Linked DNA regions of Sus scrofa. The protein of the gene in region 1 interacts with the protein of each later gene in a pairwise test. Links are inferred from orthologs where the notes say so. Each region holds a gene or a part of one and is shown in the gene's direction. Other genes may lie near its edges.

Region 1 (4,062 bases):
CAGAGCTACACTGGACCAAATCCTTCCCTGCCACTAGTAACACTGGTGAAAAACTGATGTTTTTCTTGTGCATAAACAGTCAGTGATTAAAGATCGTCGCAAAGGAAATTCACTTCCCCTCTTGCTTTTATTAGGGTTCCTCATAACTATAATGATAATACAGAGAATATTCTCCTATGTGATTTCATCCTAGTCTTGGAAGAAATGCGAGGCTAACACCACACTCACCAGGACTGGCATCACCTGTGGTTATGCAGCCAAAAGCAAAGGATGGAGCCCAAACCCTTGCTTCCTAGGTTTTTTGTTTTTTAATTGGAGCATGGTTGACTTACAACGTTGTGTTAGTTTCAGGTGTACAGCAAAGCGAACCAGTCGTACATATAAATATATCCATTTTTTTCCCATATAGGATGTCATAAACAATTGAGTAGATTTTCCTGTGCTCTGCAGTACATTGTTGTTAATCATCTATTTTATACAGTCGTGTGTATATGTTATTCCTACCATCCCAACTGCTCCCTTCCCTCAATGGTTTCCTCTGTGGTAACCATAAGATTGGTTTTGAAATCTCTGAGTTTGTTTCTGTTTTATAAATAAGTTCTTGGTATCATTTTACTCCACTCCACGTATAATTGATATCGTATGATATTTGTCTTTCTCTGTCTGATGTATTTCACTTCGTAGGATAATCTCTAGGTCCATCCATGTGGCTGTGCCTAGTGTTTTTTTATTTGTCTTTGTTGCATCACCTTTTTGGTACAAGGCACAACCTCCTGTAACCAGCAAAATACACAACCTGAATAGTGAGGTTCCCCTAACTTGTACACCTGGCTTCCATGAGAACCCCAGAACTCTTCAACTTCTAAGGACCAAGCAGCGCAGCCTTAAGGCTTCTGTGTGTTTTACCAAACGTGGGCTGGTTAGTTTCTGTGTGTGTAAAGGCATAAAGCACATCCACATTCCTTGCCCTGCTGATCAGGCTCTGGGAGTTAAAGAAAGCATCCCAGCTTTCTATGTTTAGATGCTGCTAGTCTCTGCACCTTGTTGTTTGAAGTCTTTTACTTTTCCATAGACTTTTCTGCCTAAATTCAGAGTCATATGGTGTTCATGTTAGTAAACCGAAAGCTGTTTTTCCCAAACACGTTTATTTTTCCTTTGGAGCAAATGTGAGTAGGATGAAAACCACTCTGTGTCATACTTACATGTTACTCATTAACTGACTTCAGAAAAAATCGCCTCAGCTAGATTAGGAGTCATGTGAAGAAAGAGCTTCCTGCAATGTGAGAATTGAGCAAGGCTGAAAGGCAGAGACTTTCACGTTACTGGGGAGGAGGAGAAATGAGCCCTTGAGTTTATTTCTCGGCGTAGCGATTGACAAGGGCACAATGGTGAAAAAGAGGCTGTCGTCATCCAGCGACACGACGTGGAGGTCTGAGGTTCCGGGCGGCCCGAGCAAGGTGGGCACCGAGGCCCCGCACAGCGCCCCTGACAGCCCCGGCTCGGTGTTTCTCAGGTGAGTACATCCCACCTGCCTCTGCAGGTGTTGCTTGGAGAGTTCCTTCCTCCGGAGGATTTGACCAAGGAGAAAGAGAAGGCACAACCAGGCGCATGGGCGGGTGGGTTTCAAGGAGATTCACAGCAAAGGATGTGATGTGCTGAGCAAATAGAACTCTTCACCACCATGAAGGGATAAAAGTTGTTAGTGCCTTCTTTAGTACTTTTTAGTCCTGGAAACCTGGCCGGCTATGTCGTTACTCAATGCCTTACCCACTCTCAGGTTCACAGACAGTGAAGTCAAAGAGTTAAACTAGGGAAGGGGTAGGGAGAGGGGTGGACTAGGAGTCTGGGGTGAGTAGATGCATATTATTACATTTACAAAGGATAAACAGTAAGGTCCTACTGTATAGCACAGGGAACTCTATCCAGTCTCCTGGGATACATCATGAAGGAAAATAATATTAAAAAGAACATATATATATATATATCTACATATATATCTGAGTCACTTTTCTATACAGCAGAAATTGCCACAACACTGCAAATCAACTATAATTTAAAAAACAATTTAAAAAATAGTTAAACTAAAAACCTCACTTGGATGGACAATTACTGTATTCCTATCGAAATAGTAATGTATTAAAAATATTAAAATAATCTCCCTCTTTTGAGCTTTCTAAATTAAATATTAAAATAGTATTAGCTGTGCTCTCGTTCAACTACTTGCTGTAAGTGATTTGTAGCAGCTTTGACTAGATTCAGAACATGTCTTTTTTTGGCTGTAAATATTAATATCCACATCATCACCACTCTGATAATTACATATTTCTAATGAAAATTCACTTAGGTATTCTTCATTTTGTCTCTTAATAATTCTATGGCAACTTGTACAATACAAAAATCAACTGCAAGTGGAAATAAATAACAAGAAAAACTTCCTCATCCAGCTTTGTTTTTTAAATTGAGGTATAGTTGATTTACAATATTAGTTTCAGATATATAACATAATGATTCAAACTTTTATAGATTTTACTTTCACTTTGCTGCAAACTTTTTTTCTAATGAAAGAACTTTAGGTGATGACATTACATAAGTTTTGTGTTTACAACATTATATTTCTTTCTATATTGTCAAGGTCTAAACAACAAAAATTTGCTTTTCTAATGTTGTAAACTTTGATGTCACTTTCACGTAAACTTACCAAGTCAAGCCGGATGAATAACCTCCACGCTGAAACTTCGCTTTAACATAGTACCATGTTAGAAAGTCGATCATTTATTTTTAATCATTTCTGCAAAAAAGTGCTCAACATTATAGCTTTTTAAAATCAAGTAGAAAACTAAGAAATCTCACTGCATTTAATAGATGTCACCTATCAAACTGTCCGGTGAGGAAAATAAATTCAATAGTCGATAATTTTTTTAAAGAGGTGTTAGGGACCAAGAGTCTGAATCTATGAAAAATGTTTCTTAGTAAATCTATCTAACGTTGGCCTAATGTTTCCATCCCTCATTAAAATGACTCTACCTAACTTACGTTGTGGTCGGTTGAGCAAGAGCACAATTCCTATGATTGAAATGTAAAACTCTTGCATTATTTCCATATTTTGCTGAAGTTTGGGTGTTTCTTAAATCAGTTCATCTCCTTCATCCTTTTCTTATGTTGACTGTAATGCAGACTCTTCTTAGAGCTTAAGTTCTAACCAGGAAAAATACTATTAAATTAAAATACATAAAAATACTTTTAAAATGATAAAGTATACAAAGTATAATTTAAATAAATATTATACATATGATTTAAATAAGTACAGGTAAATAAATGGAATAAAAATAAAATAAAAACCTATATCAACGCAAATTCAAGAACCCTCTTTAAAAAGAGCCCAGGCCTCTTCCACCTGCATATTTGATATATTTCTAAATGTCTTTACAATTTTTAAATGTGTATTAAACCCAATCTAAAACATTACATGTACTTCCAAACAGTTTGACAGTAGATACTGTATGTAAAAATCGTTGAAAATAATTTGTCAGGAGTTTCTGTTGTGGTGCGGCGGAAAAGAATCCAACTAGTATCCATGAGGATGCGAGTGGGTTGGAAATCTGGTGTTGCCCTGAGCTGTGGTTGTAGGTCGCAGATGCAGCTCCGATCCTGAATTGCTGTAGCTGTGGTGTAGGCCGGCAACTGCAGTTCCGATTAGCCCCCTAGTCTGGGAACTTCTATATGCTCTGGGTGCAGCCCTAAAAAGCATTAATTAATTAATCAATTAATTAATTGTTAAAGCTCTCAGGCACGTGTTGGCTAATGATTTGAGGTCAAAAATAAGATAGAAACCAACAAGGACCTACTGTAAAGCCTAAGGAACTATATTCCATACCTTGTAATAACCTATAGGAGAAAAGAATCTGGAAAAGAATATATATACTCATATATATAAACGTATATATATTTGAATCACTTTTCTGTACCCCTGATACTAACACAACATTGTAAATCGACTATACTACAATTTTAAAAAGAACAAATAAAAAGATAAACACTTCCCCTCCCTTCTAAATAAGCATG
Region 2 (4,147 bases), on another chromosome or scaffold:
GCATTTTAGATTGAGCTGTTTTCCTACCTAAGCATGACCTTGGGTAGATCACCTCCATCTCTGGGCTTAAGGGTCCCTCAATGACCTGAGGGAGCTAGACTATTCATTAAAGAATTTCAGGGAGAGTTCCAGCTCTCTCTGGAGCTTTAAAGTCTCAGGTGTTCACCATCACCCTCACCTGGCACTAAAAAGGTGCTTCATGAATATGTGGAGAAGGAAGGAAGGCCTACTTCTCATTTTACAAGACTGAACACTGGGCCTTGGAGGGGCTGGGTGACAGCTCAGGGACAAAGAGCCAGTTAGCGGTTGTGCGCGGAGGCCCTCGAACCCCTGGCCTGGAGACTTCTGGGGTTCCAGGAGAGGTAACAAGGAGAGAGACCATAGACAGAAACCTATTTAGTTTTGTTTTTTTGGGGGGTTGTCTTCCCAACGGAAGGCTCCCTGGAATCCACTGGTCACCAGGCTGGGCAGCTCTGGAATCAGACCGCGGGGGTCCAACCCCAGCTTCCGGACTTGCCGGCATCATGGCATTAGCCTAGTCACCTCTGGGTCGCTGTTTACTCTCGGGAAATGAACAGGGCCTGGCTTAGGGCGCACCAGCGCCTGACCGGTCCCCTCGGGCGGTACTCCACGCCGCAGCACAGAGCACGCCGAGGGCGACTTTCCAGGACTGTTGACGGGCGGCGCAAACCGGAACACGTGGTGTGGGTAAGCGCCATAGTAACAATTAATACCTATAAACTCTCCGTTAGGAGCCAGCGGCAGCGCGCTCGCACTCCTCCGACCCCCAGGCCTAATTTAAGAGCTCTCTCACGTGGTGGTCCCTCAGACGTCCGGGTTCGAGCCTCACGGTGACCTTGGACCGCCTCGCTTCTCCCCGCTGCCCATCTGTAAAGCGGGGATGGAGACCCGACGCAAGGGTCCGAGGACTATCTTCCGCACCAGTGGTGGGGCGCGGGGGCCGCACAATCCGCCTGTTCCCTGCAGGCCCTCGTAGGCCGTCTCTAGGTACCCCGCCCTCCTACCTTCCTGCCGGCAGTAGGCCATAGTGCAGCCCGGCGCTCCAACCTCGCGGTGATCGCGGTGGCTGCCTCACGCCGTGACCTCTCCCCGGCGAGGCGGGCGGCTGGGAGGCCCGTGCGGACCCGCCCCCTCCAGGCCTGCCCTCCGCGCGCCTGCCTCGGAGCTCCTAGCCCGGCCTTCTCAACCGGGAACTACATTTCCCAGCAGGCCGCGCGCCGCCGAGCAACTCCCTAGACAGAAGGAACTGCAATTCCCAGAATGACCTGCAATGCGCAGGTGCACCAGTGAGGTACCGGGTAGGTTGCAACTTCCGGAGAGGGCACCAGACTACGTTTCCCAGGAGGAGGCGCGGCGGGCGAGAGCAGAAAAACCGCGGCTTGCGGGGCGTTGCTCTGTAGCGCATCCTAGGGCTCCGGGCTTCCCGCGCCTTTTGGCCGCCATCTGGCTGTCGAGAGGTGGCGGGATTCCGTGGTGCAGCCGTAAGTCCGTTTTCTTGCTGAGCCGAGTGAGGCGGGCGGTGACCGGATCCTGCCATGGCTGCGAACGTGAGTGTCCCCGGCTTCGCCGGCCACACCCAGGCTGCCTCGTCCACTCTCCCGGCCGCCCGCCGTAGCCCCTTGTGCGGCTAACCGCCTCCGTGCAGCCGGCCCTTCCTCCCTCTCGCTCCCGGGTCCGCTCCTTCCGGCAGGGCAGCCAGGTCGTCCGTACGTGCGGTCAGCACCCGGTGGTCCACGTCCTCCTCGGGGGCGCGTGGTGGTAGAGACGCAACCTCTGGAGGTGTGGCTCTGTCTCCGGGTCCGCTTATGTGCGGCGCCTCCGCGCAGCTCCTTCTTTCCTTCTCGGTTCCCGCCTGCGCCTTTGGGATTCTCACATTTGCGGACTTGAGAGTTGGACGGGACTTCAGACAGGAGTCCCCCATGGGGTGTGTGGGGAGGCAGATATCGCCCTGGTGAAGCTGTCCAGAAACGCACTGTCCTAGCAGGCACTGAGGTCCCCGCTCCAGGGAGTATGTAAACCAAGGCTCTGATGTTGTGCAGAGGGGCAGACTAGTTTGGAGCAGAGGAGTTAGCATGACTGGGAGAGGGAGCATTTCCCTACTGCTGGCCCCTCGTCTTCCTGGCTTTGGCTTGGTTGGAAAGGCCCTGGCTGAGGGCGGTGCCCTTGGAAAGGCAGCTGCTTTTCTCCCTGCTTTTCTGAGGAACCTTTCTATTTAAGCCCCACATTCATTCAACAAACCGAGGGGCACCTGCCAACAGGGTGCTGGGTGTGGGAGAAGCTGGTGACTCATGTTCCTGTCTTCTGCAAAAGTGCCTCTGGTGCCAGCTCGGAGCCCAGCCAGCTGAGGCACTCCCTCCCTCCTGCTTTGGTGGCATGTCCTAACCACTCTCTCTCTTGGCCTTTCACACCCTCTTAACAGGCCCTTCCTCTGTCCCCAAGGTCCTCTCTGCCTTCCACACCCCCTGAGAAGCCAGGGTTTGCCTCACCCACAGCCCCAGCACACTTTGCCTGAGTTTGCATTGTCTGGGAGGCCAAGAAGCCTTTGAAAAAGCACCTAGAAAAGCCTCAGAGGTGGTCCGGGAGACCCAGGGTCTTCCCTCGGCAGAGCGCAGTCAGGAGACCGCCAGCCCCCCCTCCATAATGACCACTTTACAGATAGGGAACTTTCCCAGCAGAGAAAGGCCCTGCCCAGGGTTGCAGAGCCAGCCTGGCAGGCTACATCTTGGGTGAGCGTAGCAGGCTTTGGAGTCGGGCTGACAAGTGGTCTTAATCTCTTGAGGTTTATGTTTCCTCATAGGATCAGTTAACCTGAAATTTAAAGGAAAACCATGCTTAACACACTTAATGCACTATAGGTTCGTACTTAATACATTAAAAAAAAAAAAAAAAAGTAGAGTTTATCCGCACAGTCCTAGTGGACAGAGACCATCTTGGGTATGTTGGTATCCTGACCTTTGTCAAGGAATGTAAATGAATGTGGGTATCCTCTGCTGCCAAGTCTTTGTTGATTCACCCAGCAATGCGGTCCACATTTGGGGGCATCAAGCCATGTGAGGAAGAAGGAAGATGGTGGGGTGGAGCAGGGAGGCAGCAGAATTCTTCTTCACTGAAACAGCCGTCCGTTGATACGGTTACCATCTCCATTCCAAATGAGCAAACCAGAGCAGAGAGGTGGAGCAGCTTACCCAGGGGTACACAGCGGGTGATTTTCAGGGCCCAGATGCAGAGCTCTTCCCACAGCTCACTGCTCATTGCTTCTGATCCTGGAGTAGTGAGTGGGGAGCAGGCAGGGAGGAAATCTCCATGACCATCCACATTTGCTGGGAATTTGGTTCAGAGTGTGAGCTGGGCATGCCATGCTGCTCCCAGCCTGAGGGGCACTTTCTTCCTTTCCTTTACAGCCATCTTCGAGCCCCTTATCTTGAAGTCAGCTCCTAGGTATGTGCTGAGGGGAGGCCCAGGAAGAAGCTAGGTCTTCCCACCCCCAAGGTGGGGTTGCACAGGTGGTAATGGGGCTGATTTCTTTTGCTATCCTGTGCTGCCTGCAGCCGGCTCCTAGTGTTCAACTCCTGTTATGACCCGAGAAGTTAGGAATGCAGTCCAGAGCAGGGTAACAGGAAAGTGGCCTCCAGCCTGCCCAGGTGTGAATCCTAAGTCCACTTCTTAGAGGCTGTGTGATCTCGCCTGGTGATGTAACTGCTGAGCCTCAGTTTGTTTTCTCATCTGTGCAATGGGGTCGTGATAGCACCCTCTCCTTGGGCTTGTCCATGTGATAGACTGGAGTGTTTGCCATTGTCATCGTTATGATGGTTGATGGTCCCCTCCTGCCTGCAGCAAATTGCTCCACTAATGTTTCCAAATGGCCTGGAAGGTCAAGACCATTTCTGAACACAGGACAAGTGGTGCCTAGCAGGCCTGGGCTGGTGGCATTCAGAGACAGTCAAAGAACACGGCATCAGCTTTGTTCAAATGGAGACTAACTTGAATCTCATCCTGCCCCACCCCCAGTGCCAGGATGGGCTAGCTCGTTCTCATTGCTCATCTGGGAACCACTTACATCTTTGTCGTTTTTGTCAGCTCAGCCCAGCCTTGGTACCAGTGATGGAGAAAGCTGATGACATTCCAC
Region 3 (4,228 bases), on another chromosome or scaffold:
TCTCCTTCCCTCTCTTTCCCTCCATCTCTTTCTTCCTCTCTTCCCTCCTCTCTTTCCTACCTTCCAAGAAGAATTTGTTTAGAATCTGTTATATGCTAGGTTTCTCAGATTTTGCAGACTTCTTCAAAGTATGAGAAGAAGCCCAGGAGAAAACTCAATCCTTCGTTGAGCCCCAGATCAGCGCCTTTCTGTCTTGAGCCTCTCCCATGAATGGAAGAACAGCTCCTGGTCTGATGTTGCTGAGCTTCCCACTTTGAGAGACTCACGAGTTCGGAAAGCAGAGAGGAGTACTCAAACCTTAGATTTACATTTTGACTCTCCAAGCCCCATTTTATAAAGGGATATTGTATCATCTAAGATGCCTTAACGCAAAGTATTTTATTTGTGGTGGTCCCCTTACTGGGCTCCCTGCTTCCAGTCTCTCCACACCCCGATCTCTGCTCCCCACCATAATCAGAGAAATCTTTCTTCAAGTTCCTGTCCTTGTCTTTCTCCTGCCTGAAGTCCTTCACTGGCTCCACATCACCTATAAGCCAGAGGTCAAGCTCCTTAATACTACCCAAAGGATCTTTATGCTCTGACTCCAGGTGCCTCCTTAGCCCATGACCTCCTTATTCCTGTCATATAATTCATACTCCAGCAGCATCAAACTACTCACAATGCACCAGGCATTTAGGGCATCTTCTGCACCCATACTTTTGAATGTGCTGATCCCTCTACCTGGAACTCTTTGCCATTATGCCACTCTCTAAACTGTGCATGTTCTTTCATTGTTACACTCATCCCTGTATCATAATTTATTTGCTCAGATCTTTGAGTGCAAAGACTGGGAGTTGCCTCCGTGGCTCAGTGCCTGGTCTCTGGAAGGCGCTCGATATATATTTGTGGGATGAATGGCTGGCTGACTGATAGATGAGGCTCATCTTTTTTTTTTGGGGGGGGAATTCCTAGGCTAGGGGTCAAATTGAAGCTGTAGCTGCCAGCCTATGCCACAGCCACAGCAACGCGGGATCTGAGCTGCGTCTGCCACCTACACCACAGCTCATGGCAACGCCGGATCCTTAACCCACAGAGCGAGGCCAGGGATCGAACCTGCATCCTCAAGGCTATTAGTTGGATTTGTTACTGCTGAGCCCCGACAGGAACTCTGAGGGTCATCTTATAAGAGAAAAATCTTCTCCTGAGGACAGGATGTTAAGGTGTCCATGTAACAGGCCCCCAGAGATGATGACAAATGGCCTTTTCCTGAGAACTCAGACCTTGGAGGAGAAGATTGAGCTGTGGCTTAGGGCAGGCAAGGTGCCTAAACTAGGAATGGGGAACTTTGAGATGACACAATGACCTCTGGTGGGACTCACTTCCCTTTTCCTCTGGATAAAAGTCCTTGGGGAGACAGCCAGCTGGGAGCACCTGTGCCTTGAGTTGGAGCGTGCAGGATGAAGGCTGTGGAGAGCGAGGTCCATGATGCGCACTTCACTGTAGACAAACAGAACATCTCCCTATGGCCCCGAGGCAAGCAGCAGCTACCATACCGAGCCTGCCCAGGGCGCTGCACCCAAACCCAATCTTTGCTGGTCCTGCAACAAACCTTCTCTTCTTCTTCCTGCAGAGCCTCCTCCCAAGACGGGTCCGTATCTGGTTCTGGGGCGGTGTCTCACAGTCCGAGCTGCCGTGGTCTTGCTGACGCTGGTCCTGGTCGCCTCCATCCTGCTGCAGGCCATTCTCTGTAAGTCCTCAGCCCTGAATGCCCTCGGCCCTTCCCCTCGGCCAGCCGGCTCCCTCGACATCCAGACCCTCTCTCCCCTGCTCGCTGGTGCCCCTCCCCAATGGCTTTCTCATTTGTCTTATTCGCCCTCTTGTCACGTGCAGTCAGAGAGTCCCCCATTCCCAGTAAGATCAGCTGCTGCTCCTTCCTCTGCAATTCCAGGGAGGTTTTCCTGACTGGGATCAGCACGCTCGGGCTCAAGGATATGCTGTTTTGACCCCAGGAAATGTTCACCCATCTTCATCCCCTGTCATTTTCTCCTCCCTCTCTGAGCTCTGTGTCCCTTCCATTCAGAGGTTTAGGGACAGACTCAAAAGTGAGCAAAACGTTTACTGACCCCACAAGGGATGGAGTCCTCACTGTATCATCAGCCCCACCTGAACCTGGCCGACAGGACAATACATCTCCCTGGTTTGCCCCCTCATCAGGACCCTGTTGCGCTCTCTCCATTCTCCCATTCCCAAGAAGGTCGTTCAAGGGAGACCTCCTGCTCTTCATTGGCTGTGTGACTTATTTTCCTCTCTGGCTTTGCTAAGCTCCATGGCCTCTGCTGCTTGTAGAAGCTTCTTCCTCACCCTGGGTCTCCAGAGGGAGGGAGTGTTTGTCTTCTCCCTTCTAGGTCCCAGGGCACATTTGGTCTTGAACTTGGAGGTTTTTTTTTGTTTGTTTGTTTTTGTCTTTTTGCCATTTCTTGGGCCGCTCCCGCGGCATATAGAGGTTCCCAGGCTAGGGGTCTAATTGGAGCTGCAGCTGCCAGCCTACGCCAGAGCCACAGCAACACGGGATCCCAGCCGCGTCTGCGACCTACACCACAGCTCACGGCAACGCCGGATCCTTAACCCACTGAGCAAGGGCAGGGACTGAACCCGAAACCTCATGGTTCCTAGTTGGATTCGTTAACCACTACGCCACGACTGGAACTCCCGACCTCCTCTTTTTTTTTTTTTTTTTTCAAGGGCTGCACCTGCAGCACATGGAAGTTCCCAGGCTAGGGGTCAAATTGGAGCTGCAGCTGCTGGCCTATGCCACAGCCACAACAACCCCAGATCTGAGCCGTGTCTGTGAACTACACCACAGCTCATGGCAATGCCAAATCCTTAACCCACTGAGGGGGGCCAGGGATTGAACCCAAATCCTCATGGATACTAGTTGGGTTTGTTTCTGCTGAGCCACAATGGGAACTCTGGACTTGGAGGTTCTGAGCAGAGTCTGCTCTGCTTCAAGCCCACTTGGTTTACTTTTGGTTTCCTCTATGACACCTGAGCCTGTGACCTGAGCAGAGTGTGACAGGGACTGGGATCAGGGAGAAATGATTTCTTAACTCTCCCTCTTTGGAGAAGTCACTTCCACATGAGAAGTCTCCATGGCTGGTCCTCCCATGGCCATGTGGGACCTGTGGGCAGTCATGGGAGGGGTGGTGCTACCCTAGCTGATGGCTGATGCAGGGTCTCTGAAAGGGGCAGACTGGGAATCAAGGGATGGTTCCCAGAGTGATGTGGGAAGGGTGACAAGGGGGCGATTAATGGCATCCTTTTACCAAATGTGCCTTAAAAACTCAAAGCAAATTTAGAAGACAATCAAATTCCCACTTCTGCCTACCTGTGAGGCCCTTTACCAGAGCGCCCGTGATTTCTTAATTATTTAATAATAATAAATTTATTATTTATTAACTGCAGTATCTGCATCCCCCAGAATTCCTGGCACATGGAAGGTGCCCATCGCATGTTTGTTGAGTGAATAAATTATGAATGAATGGAGGGTAGGCAACCACTCCTTGGGTTGGGTCCTTGGGAAACTTGGGCCTGTCACTTCCCTTCCTTCCCTTTTCTCACCCTGGCAACCCCCTCTCCAGTCCCTGGGGATCCCCTTGGCTGACCGACCTCCTGACTTTCTCAAATCCAGATCCTTGGTTTATGGGCACAATGTCAGATGTCAAGACCAGTGCCCAGTTGCTGCAAGGTCGTGTGGACAACATCAGCACCCTGAGTTCCGAAATCAAGAGGAACAGCGGTGGTGTGGAGGCGGCTGGCGTTCAGGTCCGGATGGTGAATGCCAGCCTGGATCATGTGCGTTCTCAGATCCAGAGGTTGGAAATCAGTGTGAAGGAAGCTGATGCACGGCTGCAGAAGCTAACAAGTAGTTGGGAAGAAGTCGATAAGTTAAATGCCCAAATCCCAGAGTTAAAAAGAGATTTGGATAAAGCCAGTGCTTTAAATGCAAAGGTCTGGGACCTCCAGAGTGGCTTGGGAAATATCAGCAAGATGCTCAAACAGCAAAGTAAGTGACTCAGAAAGGACCGCTCCAAGCTGACCAGTTGGACCTGGCTGGTCTCAGGCATAAAGCCACTGGGATGGTGTGTGGAGGGAGGGGGAGGGCAACAGAGTAGACGTGGCTGGAAAGTTAAGAAGAGAGGACTCAGTGTTGGGGTTGGGGAGGACGTAGGGGCTGTTCAGGAGAGAAGGA

The links. The genes of interacting proteins can lie anywhere in the genome.
Region 2: the proteins of GRAMD2B (region 1) and TMEM43 interact in binary tests that used the Homo sapiens proteins (3 or more experiments, as listed by UniProt). The two-hybrid records come from large-scale screens. The link is inferred for Sus scrofa from reciprocal best matches to the Homo sapiens genes GRAMD2B and TMEM43.
Region 3: the proteins of GRAMD2B (region 1) and CD207 interact in binary tests that used the Homo sapiens proteins (3 or more experiments, as listed by UniProt). The two-hybrid records come from large-scale screens. The link is inferred for Sus scrofa from reciprocal best matches to the Homo sapiens genes GRAMD2B and CD207.

The regions. Positions count from the first base shown.
Region 1 is NC_010444.4:129,509,833-129,513,894, forward strand, and holds the start of GRAMD2B (GRAM domain-containing protein 3), read left to right. Parts: upstream 1-1,239; 5' UTR 1,240-1,385; coding exon 1,386-1,513; intron 1,514-4,062.
Region 2 is NC_010455.5:70,414,398-70,418,544, reverse strand, and holds the start of TMEM43 (transmembrane protein 43), read left to right. Parts: upstream 1-1,331; 5' UTR 1,332-1,556; coding exon 1,557-1,568; intron 1,569-4,147. Other genes in the region: CHCHD4 (mitochondrial intermembrane space import and assembly protein 40), read right to left, coding at 1,026-1,047. UniProt on the Homo sapiens protein: May have an important role in maintaining nuclear envelope structure by organizing protein complexes at the inner nuclear membrane. Required for retaining emerin at the inner nuclear membrane.
Region 3 is NC_010445.4:71,666,821-71,671,048, forward strand, and holds the start of CD207 (C-type lectin domain family 4 member K), read left to right. Parts: upstream 1-1,412; 5' UTR 1,413-1,436; coding exon 1,437-1,512; intron 1,513-1,609; coding exon 1,610-1,726; intron 1,727-3,667; coding exon 3,668-4,042; intron 4,043-4,228. UniProt on the Homo sapiens protein: Calcium-dependent lectin displaying mannose-binding specificity. Induces the formation of Birbeck granules (BGs); is a potent regulator of membrane superimposition and zippering.